Linked DNA regions of Danio rerio. Each later gene encodes a partner of the first gene's protein in a complex. Links are inferred from orthologs where the notes say so. Each region holds a gene or a part of one and is shown in the gene's direction. Other genes may lie near its edges.

Region 1 (3,757 bases):
TTATGCAAGAAAAAACATTTACAAATATACAGTATTACTGATACAAAAAGGGTTACATAAAAAAAATCCAGCAAATTAAACAAGTAACAGGGTGTTACAAATAACCCACACAGTGTTGGACACCAATTAAACTAACAAAATAATTTTTACATTTTGAGTGTAAAGTTGAGAACTTTTTATATTAGCGGGATAAATAATCCATCTGCTTTAGAAAGTAATGTTCTACCTGTTAATGCTAAATCTTAAGTCTAAATATTAGCATTTCTATGATCTTTCGCTTGACACGTACGCTTCTAATGCCCAAACACAAGCTGCGTCCCAAATGGCACACTATACACTATGCACTCATGCACTATGCACTTATGCACTTACACACTCAACAGAATAGTATATGTATGTAGTGTTGTCCCAAATGGCACACTAATGTTTTTTTACTAAGCGGAAATTCAAACCGTTTCCCTGATGACATTTGACGGTCGCCAAATCAGTGAAATAAACAACCGAATTATCAAATATTACCTGCCGTGAGTATTGCCGCATTCACCATCGGGAGGCGCTATAATCACTCTCGTAGGAGAATTTTGCTTTCACCATCCAAAATAAATAAAGTTATCCAACATGCGCGTCCGATAGCTCCGCCCCTTCCGCTACGTAAGCAAACCTGCGGTCGTTGAGTGCGTGAAGTGTTCATCATTACACACTTCATTTTAGCGGCTGAATGAGTGCAGCATCCGGGTAATTAAAGTGCACTTATTATTTTGAGAGTTTTCAATGTGAACACACTACTTACACTATTTATACTACAAAATGGCGTAGAATAGTGCATAAGTATGCGATTTGGGACGCAGCTATGGTTACTACTTCCGTGTTGGCGTGTTTACGACAGTCTGCGAACCGGTGTTCATTTACGGCAGGCTGTGCACTGCAGGCAGGCACGTGTGGTTCAGAGTCAACAGCGTGTTGATCATTCATATTCCAACCACACAACTTTAAAGGTAAATAAAAAATTTGTACTTTCTCTTTGATTTTAATAGTAAATTGTGTGTACGTAGCATATCTTTTGGTATTATGCGCCCCTTGTTTTACTCTCGGAAGTATTAGACATGCTAAAAGCTAACCTCCATGCCTGGTTCAGCATGTACGATAACTAGTACCACGAGCTTTATTCTGTTTACGAGAGTTTGTGATTATGATAATACATAGATATTCTAATAATTACTTGCATGTATTAATATATTATCAGCATTCGCAATAACCTTTGCATCAAAACTGAAGAACGTTTGATCTGCTTTTAGCATTAGTTTGCTTTTAGTCTGAGATTACTTTTAAGAGGATAGTTCACCCAAAACTGAAAATTATGTCATTTATTCGCCCTTTACATCTTCCAAGCCTGTTGGCCTTTTCCCCCTCTGTTAAACACAAAAGAAGATATTTTGAAAAATGTTGGAAACCTTAACCATTGACTACAGTAGTAGGATAAATACATATTATGGGAGTAATAAAGGTTGTTTACAAGCTAATAAATTGAGGTAAACTTGATTTTATATTCGCACATTCGCACAACACAGTGCACTTTCAGATTAAAACATTAGCTGGATATTTCACTTCACTTAGAGCTGCGTTACACACTGCATGGAAGGTCATTTTCAAAAACCCACAATATGATGACTTCATAGTAATGTGGAGTGAAAAGTTATTTTATAGTAATTTCTGTAAAGGCTATCGTAGGATGTTTAGGTGCTGCAAGAATCCATTTGGAATTGCTCTGCTTATCAGGGTTTCCATGCTTCTTGAAAGTACTTGAGTATCAGACATATGGAGTCAGTGCCTGGAAAGTACTTAAAAACAAACATTATTTGTCTTTAACATTATTGCCCTATATATCCTGAGATTTGATTGATTGTATTTTACAGGATCTCCGTCATGTCTTTCCGTGGTGGCGGCGGTGGTCGAGGAGGAGGTTTTAACAGAGGTGGTGGTGGTGGTCGTGGAGGCGGATTTGGAGGTGGTCGTGGAGGTGGATTTGGAGGTGGTCGTGGAGGCGGATTTGGTGGGGGTCGAGGAGGCAGAGGTGGATTTAACAGGAACCAAGACTATGGCCCACCTGAATATGTTGTCGGTAAGGTTTCTTTCTATTTTGTCTTTCTGATGTCTTTATGTGATGTGATTTTATATTTCTGCTCATTGTGTTTTTCAGCACTGGGGGAGTTCATGCACCCCTGTGAGGATGAGATTGTCTGTAAATGTGTGACGGAAGAGAACAAAGTCCCATACTTCAATGCTCCTGTATATCTGGAGAACAAAGAACAGATTGGAAAGGTGGACGAGATCTTTGGGCAGCTCCGTGATTTTGTATCCTTAAATTATTTTGCATATGATGTTGGCAGTGCTGTCAGATGACTTCATAGTAATGTGGAGTGAAAAGTTATTTTATAATCGTTTCTGTAAAGGCTATCGTAGCATATTTAGGTGCTGCAAGAATCCACTTGGAATTGCTCTGCTTATCAGGGTTTCCATGCTTCTTGAAAGTACTTGAGTATCAGACATATGGAGTCAGTGTCTGGAAAGTACTTAAAAACAAACAAAGGTCCTTGACGGTGCTTAAGTAAAATTTCAAACCAAATTTGTTTATAGTGTTATTTCAACTTTTGTACTGTGCTGCTGTCAAAAACAGAATAAAAGTCGGCGCCAATAGCCTAGTGGTTAGTGCATCACATAGCACCGAAGTGCTTGCATCGACCCGAGTTCGATTCCCGTCTCGAGCCCCTAAAAAAACCCCTAAAAAAACAATTTAAAAAAAAAATCTTCTTTAATCGTGTATTTAAATTTTGTGTAATTACAATTAATGCACATTTGATCAATATTTGAGAAACTTAATTTGAATATTACCAGTATCAAATTCAACAAATTTTATTAAAGTTCCTCGAACATGATTTATTACTCGCAATACTTATGTAAATATTGTAAATACTAAGTGTAAGTGAAATGTAAGGTATAGTAATTACTTTAAGTGGCACTACATATGCTTGGGTATGAATTACAAATTTGATTTAAACATTAATGGTGAGTTCTAAAAAAATGAATGATGACTGGATTTGAAAAAAAAAAAAAACCTTGATTTGAAAATTTACGGTGCTTTAAATGTGCTTGGATCTGGTGTCCATGAAAGAGTGGAAGCACTGATTTATAGATGCATGTGTTTCTAAGACCTCTAAATGTTCAAAATGATCAGAACTGTGCTGAAAACGACTTGCAGACAATCTTCTTTCTTATGTATATAGTCCTTAATCATTTCTTCAGTATTTTTCAGTCAAACTTTCTGATAATATGAAGGCATCCTCATTCAAAAAGTTACAGAAGGTAAGTTCAGCCTTTTGAATTTTCTTTGTTCTCTGTTTTTTAAATGTTTGAACCCCCTTTTTTGTAAAATGTAGGAAGTTTTATTTTGCCTTATTTGATTTTGTAAATTAAAAAAATATATATTTGAAATGTATAATAATTATTGTCACAAGCTACACTCATTTTTTTATCTTTATTCAATTTGGAATGAAAATGTAAATAACACTAAAACAAGTAACATCAGTAAAAAAATGAAACGTGAAAATCTATAACCGTAAGCTAATTTATTACAAGTTTATTAGTGTTATTAAAGTTGTAACATTTCAAAAGCATAATTGTTCATATCAGCATTTAATGCAATAATACCAGGGCTGCACGATATTGAAAAAAAAAAACTGCCATTACAATATCATTTTTC
Region 2 (3,698 bases), on another chromosome or scaffold:
TTTGAGTGGATGTGTGAGGCTGATGACTGAATAAAAGTCTTTTCTTTTCGTTTGTTCATTTTGTGCACTAGGGGTCAGTGTTTTTAAAACAACTCAAAAACACGACATTCTAGATGTAGATACATAGATGCCTCTTTTAGATTCTGCCATGTAACGAGCAAAATATTCGAGAAGTTGACTGTAAAAACAAGCAAGTGTGAATATATCTACAATAGATTTTAATGTATTTTTAGCAACACGAATGCATTAGTTGATGTGTATAATAAAAAGTAATCTTTCACAATAACATATACATTCTTGAAAAGTAAACACGTTTAACTAATTTTTCCAAATGACTTTAGATTGTAAAATGATTTCCCCACAATACTGCTGATAAAACCATGAATTAAGATGCCATTATAAAATACCTACATTTCCCCCTCTAAATGTCCAGTTTCTTTATAAATTAAAATCGAAGTGGTAAGTGCAAGCTAAATTTACCGTTGGCGGACGGAGTCTGGAGCGGTTTCTAGCTCAGATACGGTTGCGGCCGGAAATTAACAGTAATCATTTATATTGTTTATTAAGTTTCCTATTTATTGTATTTTATTAGCGTCTGCCCCAACCCTAAAGCCAGCTTATACAGTGATGTAAAAACGGCCGTTTTGCCGCACTTATTTATTATAAATAAATAAATGGTATTTCATTAACGTCTGCCCCTAAACTCAACCGTCACAATACTGTAAAAATATTATTGTTATACAGTGTTATACAATATATTAAAAATATATTACTAATAAAATATTATTGTTATACAAAAATGATCCGCAGCTGTATCTAGACTTCACCGTCGAGAGCGGCATCTATGTATTATTCGACTCTATGGAGGAAATACTGCAGTGTTCGAAAAACACCGGAAATACGTTTATAGTCACCGCACGTGTGTTGTGCCTTGCATCCTGTGCCTGCAACACTATCAGCCTTAAGTTAATCGCTAAAGTATATTTGTGTACATTTTAACAAAAGATGACAAAGGTAAAGAAGGAGAAAGCCGGGGAAGAAGAAACCGGAGGGACGGAAAAATCATATCAAGAGTTGATAGCTAATATTAACCCAATCGCAAACCCGCTAGCATCGCGAAAACTTAGCAAAAAGCTCTACAAATGCGTCAAGAAAGGTAAACACGTGTTCAGAACTTGTTTTTAACATTCATAAAGAGTAACGTTATTGCCTGCGAGTGTGAATGAAAGTATACTAAATATCGCTGTCTGTAGGTTTAATATGTTGCAGACACGTGGTTGCAGTCATTTGTTCATTGGTTATGAGTGTTATTCATTATTATATTTATATTTTCTTAGCGGCTAAAGTTAAACAGATCCGACGAGGAGTCAAAGAAGTACAGAAGTTTATCAACAAAGGAGAGACTGGGTAAGATTAAGGTTTTTTCAGGTATTTGTTAAGCCCATTGGTTGATCAGTCCAGGGTTTAACCCATATTAGCCTTTTAAAAAGTTCATTCTAGTTTCAAATTGACTACACTACTAGACAAAGAATAATACTAATTTTTAATTTAACACGAAGAAATGCACAAAATTCACAAAACTATTTGAGCTCATGATGTTGTATTTGGTTCAGTTTGTACGCAGTATGATCATCTTAAAGGGATGGTTCAACCAAAAGTTATTTTATATTTTCATAATTTACTCACTTTTTATTTTGTTCCAAACCAGTTTAACTTAATTTTTTCGGTTGAACAAATATATTTTGACTTCCATTGCATTTGTTTTTCTTACTATGGTAGTCAATGTTTTCAGCTTGTTACAAAATATCTTTTGTGTTCAACAGAAGGAATAAACTTGAGGGAGAATAAAGAGTCTGTTATTATTTTTTTTCCCTGTGATTTATCCCTTTATAGTGTAAATATATCTTTAACTTATGGTTATAGTATATGAAAGCTATATTAGTTTTAGAAAACTAGCAGTATATTTTATTTAAATTATTTAAAAAATATCCTTGAATCTGTTGAAACTTTAGACCATTTTGAGGGACGTAAACAATAACAATGGTCCCAATTAGGCATGGGTGGTTTAGAATTCTGATGCTATGATAACCTTAGATCAGTGGTTCTCAAACTGTGGTACGTGTACCACTAGTGGTACGCAGGCCTTCTTCTAGTGGTACGCGGATGAATCAAATATGTAATATGTACATGCTACATATATTTAAAGAAATTATCAAAAATGATTTATATACGAATATGATGACATGAAGCCTATATTTATGAGGTCTAGGCAACTTTTCCAGGTGCTAACAAACCAGGAGTTATTTCTTTTTTTAAACTGTACAGAGCTTAAGCTGCTTTACTAGACCTAATACGCTACTGTATTTCAAAACTGCTCATTATGGTGGTACTTGCAAAGACAATTTTTTTCCGAGGTGGTACTTGATGAAAAACGTTTGAGAACCACTGCCTTAGATAGAAATATCACAGTTTTGTGATCACAACTCTAAAATATTTTCTTTTAAATGTCTAAAAAAAAAAAAACACGTTCTTCTGCTGCCTTCAAAAACACAAATTTCTCTACAATTTAAAACGACATATTTGGATATCTACTCTGCTGAAGATGTTGGCCTAAAAAAGCGTAAATAAAAAATCTTACACATACCTTAGGAATGAAATACATGAAAATTTTGAATGTTTTAAAACCTGGACTTTTTCCAAACCGCGGTAAACCTTGAAAACAGTTGTCATCCCATGCCTAGTCCCAATGTATTTTCTGTTTGACATGTTTTCATTTCTATAGCTTCTGAGAATCCAAAAAGGTCAACATATTGATAAACAATGTTATAGTAGCTGTTTTAGCATTGAGTTATAGTTAAATTCCCTCTTTTAACAGTTATGATAGTCTACACATGAATCATTTCTGCATGAAGAAATTACTTCAGTATTTTGTTTGTAAAATGTAATATCGTTTAATTAAGAAATTGTTACCATTTATATAGATTATATGCACTTATAAATTTAATTATATTATGTATTTAAAAATATTTTCAACTATGAAATTTAATAATAGCTTTCGTCTTTGTGAATTTTTATATTTGAAAAATTTTCTCAAGTTTTATGTATTAAAATGGGTAAGTGTGTTAACATGGAACTTGTATGGTAACATTCAAATTGTTTTGATTTTTTTGTCATTGATCAAAGTTTGCTGATCAGACACAATATGGCTTCAGTCAGACAAAAAGTTATTATGAGTTATGACTTGAGATCAAGCAGGCCTGAAATCTGAAAATCAAGTCAGAGTTATTAGCCGCCCCTTATATTATATATTAGATATTTATTTATTTATTTATTTATTTATTATCCTGTCTAAATGATGTTTAACAGAGTAGAAAATTTTCACAGTATGTCTGATAATGTTATTTCTTCTAGAGAAAGTCTTATTTGTTTTATTTCGGCTAGAATAAAAGCAGTTTTTAATTTTTCAAACACCATTTTAATGACAAAATTATTAGCCCGTTTAAGCTATATATTTTTTCGATATTCTACATAACAAACCAGGGTTCATACAGTCATAGAAACCCTGAAAAGTCATAGAATTTTGACATGGCATTTTCCAGGCCTGGAAAAGTTTTGGAAAACCAGAAAAACCCACAAAGTTTTGGAAGAATCATAGAAAGTAGTTTAACAAATATCTGTATACTTGAATTAGGGCTGCG
Region 3 (3,659 bases), on another chromosome or scaffold:
CATGTCTAGCACTGCTAGCTATAAACGTGATATTTAGAGTCTAAGAGCGCTTTAATTTGTATATGAACACTTGGCAGTCCTTTCTTACACTGATTGAGAAAACATTCTGAAAAGAGAAAAATGATGTGCAAAAAAGAAGCTTTTCTCCTTTTGATTGTATAAATGTGCAGTGTATATTTTGTTTTATTTATTGCTGTTGTGCTATTTACTTTACTAATTTATTTTATTTGGATTATGTATTTAGTTAGTTAATCAAAAAGGCACAATATAAATTTCCTCAATATTTTCAATCATCTTTTCTCGCTAGTGAAATAATGTTAAGCCCCGGTCAAATCACATGATTTTTATTGTTGGTTACGAAAGTCACTATGCAAGATGATGCAGTTTTTGTCTTGATAAAATCACTACACATTCCTTCACGTTCCCTCATGCCATAATGTTTTCGACGAGCGTTATTTCCCAAAGCGTTCACGAGTGTTGCTATAACAATGTTTCTTATCTTAATTTTAATGTTTTTTTTTAATCTTATTTCAATCTTAATAAGCACTGATGCTTGCTGACAACTAGACTATATTATTTAAGAGAATTTATGACATTGATAGGATCAAACATATATTTCCTTTTTAATATTAAGATTTTTTCCTTTAAATCTAAATGTAAGCTATATTTTCCAGCTATGGGTTGCCTATAAAACACTCCCTCGCCTGAACTTGCAGCAAGTGAGACAGAAAACAAATTTAAGACTTAAACTTTAACTTAAGTCAAAATAATGACTAATAAAGAAATAAGCAAATTTATAACAGAAGTTTGTGATGCAACAATTACCGTGGAGGATTATTTAAATCCTTATTTTGCACAGAGCGGAACAAATCATCCACCTGCACAGCTGAGTAATGGACAGGCTCAAAAAAACAAAACAAAATTAGTATATTTTTCGTGGTATAATTTGTATCTTAATTTTAATGTATTTTTTATTGGTCAGTTAACTATAGATAAAAAATAACATCTGAGGTGAAGTACTTCAAACAAGTCTGATATGCTTCAGCCCCAAAACACGAACTGGTTTGTTAAATAAAATAAAATCTAGCCTGTATTAACGGCAGCACCCGCGGATAACTGAGAAATGATGTGCTCCTATTGTCACCCATGTGATGGAACTTGTCGAGTAGAATGGGGAAAAAATTAAACATGCTAAACTTTCTGCGATGGTGTCGTGAGGCGTCGCAGACATGGCATCGGTTGTTGTGGATTATGCAATAATACACAAGAAGAAACAATTTAATCTTGTTTCACAACGCCCATTTGTCTTTTTTATGAATTACTACGACACTCTACATCAAAAAAAATTAATTATCTGACTGTGGCTTTACCTACCACATCATGGTAGAATCAACAAAAAATAAAATAACCCATCTCCTCTGACCACTTTACTTTATCCCACTTTTTTACTTTCCCTTACTCCCTATCTGTTGTAGTTTGTATATGATATTATAATGCATTTTTTGTTTATTTCTCTTTTTTTGATGAGAATTTTGATTTGCTTAATGCATTCTTTTTAAAATGAAGAGTAAATCAACTGTTTTTTTAATAAATAGCACTTGCTAAATCAATTAATTAATTAATGTAAACCAACTTTTCACCAAATGTCAATAAAATTTTTCACACACTGAGAAAGGCTTTGAGCTGAAATGTTTATAGTTATTTTCCAGAAGAATGTGAAATAATAAATATAATGCAATAACTCAATGAGTGCGGATCATGGGATTTTTAAGTTGAACCTGGGCAAAATATGTGTAGGGAACACTTTACTATTATAAATTATATTTAAAAAAGTTTTCCATTAATGTAAAGTCATCATAAAATATGTATGCATATATACTAATTTTGTCCAGATCCATTTTCCTAGGAATTTTCTAAACTTTTGGAAGAACATGTTCACATAAGCCTCATATTTTTTGTCTAGCAATATTTGTCATCTTTGATTTCAAGCTGCTGTAGCTCTTCGTTTGTTAGATTCTCAATTGTAAATGGGTCTTTTGTGCTGCCTTTTGAAGGGAAGCCAGACTGACTGTCAAGTCTGATACTGCAATCTCTTGTTTTCCCCAAAACAATAGATTTTGTTGGGAGAAAACTGGTTTTAGTCTTTGCAGCAACATTCACTGTATTTAATTTTTCCTCTTTCTTCTTGTTTCCCCTTTAGCATTGCCAGCAGCAGCCGAGACAACCCGGTCCACATATGGGACGCCTTCTATGGGGACCTTCGTGCATCTTTTCGACCCTACAACCACCTGGATGAGCTGACAGCGGCTCATTCACTGTGTTTCTCTCCTGACGGCTCTCAGCTCTACTGCGGCTTTGATAAAATCGTCAGGGTCTTCCACACCGACCGTCCTGGCAGAGACTGCGAGCAGCGGCCCACCATGGGTGAGGGACCCTCTCATAGAGGAATAACCACTACATCAATCACTCTCACTCTTCAAACGGGTCTTAATCAGGGTCATTAAGACGACTGGCTGGCTTGCATGGGTGTGGAATGCCTGTAATCCCATTTAATTTCTTTTTGTTTGTTTGGGTGGATTCATTCCAAACACATTCATGGCGGGAAACACATATTTGGCTTGATTAAGCTAACATGGCATGCTTGGCTCTGATCTAGACAGTGGCTGTGGATATAATTATCTTAGCATGTTTGTAGTGACTGACTCATTGATGTTGCTTCTACCCTGCTATTGTAATTATTGCTCTGCTTGTGTGACACAAACGTTCTTTTGTTCAGGTTGAAAAAGGGTTGAACGTAAATATAATTTATTATATTATTTTATATTATATACATTTTTCTTTTTCTTGTTTGTGTTATTTTCATTCATTCATTCATAGTCCCTTTGTTATTCAGGGATTGCCACAGTGGAGTGAACCGAACCACCAACTTTTACAGCATATGTGTTTGCGCAGTAGATGCTCTTCCAGCTGCAACCTATCGCTGGGAAACACCCACACACTCTCATTCACACACATACACTATGACAACCTAGCCCAGGGATGGGCAAACTCGGTCCTGCAGGGCCGGTGTCCTGCACAGTTTAACTCCAACTCTAATCAAACACACCTGCTTATAGATTTCTAGTGATCTTGAAGACACTGATTGGCATGTTCAGGTGTTTTTGACTAGTGTTGGAACAAAACTCTGCAGGGACACCGGCCCTCGAGGATCAAGTTTGCCCATCCCAGACCTAGCCCATCCAATTCACCTGTACCACATGATTTTGGACTTGTGGGGGAAACCGGAGCATCTGGAGGAAACCCACACGAACACGTGGAGAACATGCAAACTCCACACCGAAACGCTTACTGACCCAGCCGAGGCTCGAACCAGCGACCTTCTTGCTGTGAGGCAAACATGCTACCCACTGCGCCACCGCGTCGACCCGTTACTTATATAAAGAATATAATTTAAATCAGCCTTTAGCTCAATTGTCAGGCTCGCTCCTGTTGGTTCTTAATCTGGCAACCTGTACTTGCATTTGTTTTGATCCAGGAATGCAATACCTAGTTCAACCACTGGGTCTCAAACTTACATACTGCACCTGTAAGACTTTTCCCAACTTCATAGGTTGTTTATAGCTGCATTTCCACTACCATTAAAATTGCACAAAAAGGAA

Evidence for each region.
Region 2: gar1 (region 1) and nhp2 share a complex: the UniProt entries of both Homo sapiens proteins name them as parts of the H/ACA small nucleolar ribonucleoprotein (H/ACA snoRNP) complex. The link is inferred for Danio rerio from reciprocal best matches to the Homo sapiens genes GAR1 and NHP2.
Region 3: gar1 (region 1) and wrap53 share a complex: the UniProt entries of both Homo sapiens proteins name them as parts of the telomerase holoenzyme complex. The link is inferred for Danio rerio from reciprocal best matches to the Homo sapiens genes GAR1 and WRAP53.

What each region holds. Positions count from the first base shown.
Region 1 is NC_133189.1:48,215,170-48,218,926, reverse strand, and holds the start of gar1 (H/ACA ribonucleoprotein complex subunit 1), read left to right. Parts: upstream 1-903; 5' UTR 904-995; intron 996-1,913; 5' UTR 1,914-1,923; coding exon 1,924-2,119; intron 2,120-2,197; coding exon 2,198-2,352; intron 2,353-3,300; coding exon 3,301-3,360; intron 3,361-3,757. UniProt on the Homo sapiens protein: Required for ribosome biogenesis and telomere maintenance. Part of the H/ACA small nucleolar ribonucleoprotein (H/ACA snoRNP) complex, which catalyzes pseudouridylation of rRNA.
Region 2 is NC_133196.1:33,053,626-33,057,323, reverse strand, and holds the start of nhp2 (H/ACA ribonucleoprotein complex subunit 2-like protein), read left to right. Parts: upstream 1-872; 5' UTR 873-1,005; coding exon 1,006-1,156; intron 1,157-1,337; coding exon 1,338-1,407; intron 1,408-3,698. UniProt on the Homo sapiens protein: Required for ribosome biogenesis and telomere maintenance. Part of the H/ACA small nucleolar ribonucleoprotein (H/ACA snoRNP) complex, which catalyzes pseudouridylation of rRNA.
Region 3 is NC_133182.1:20,898,596-20,902,254, forward strand, and holds part of wrap53 (telomerase Cajal body protein 1), read left to right. Parts: intron 1-2,200; coding exon 2,201-2,424; intron 2,425-3,659. UniProt on the Homo sapiens protein: RNA chaperone that plays a key role in telomere maintenance and RNA localization to Cajal bodies. Specifically recognizes and binds the Cajal body box (CAB box) present in both small Cajal body RNAs (scaRNAs) and telomerase RNA template component (TERC).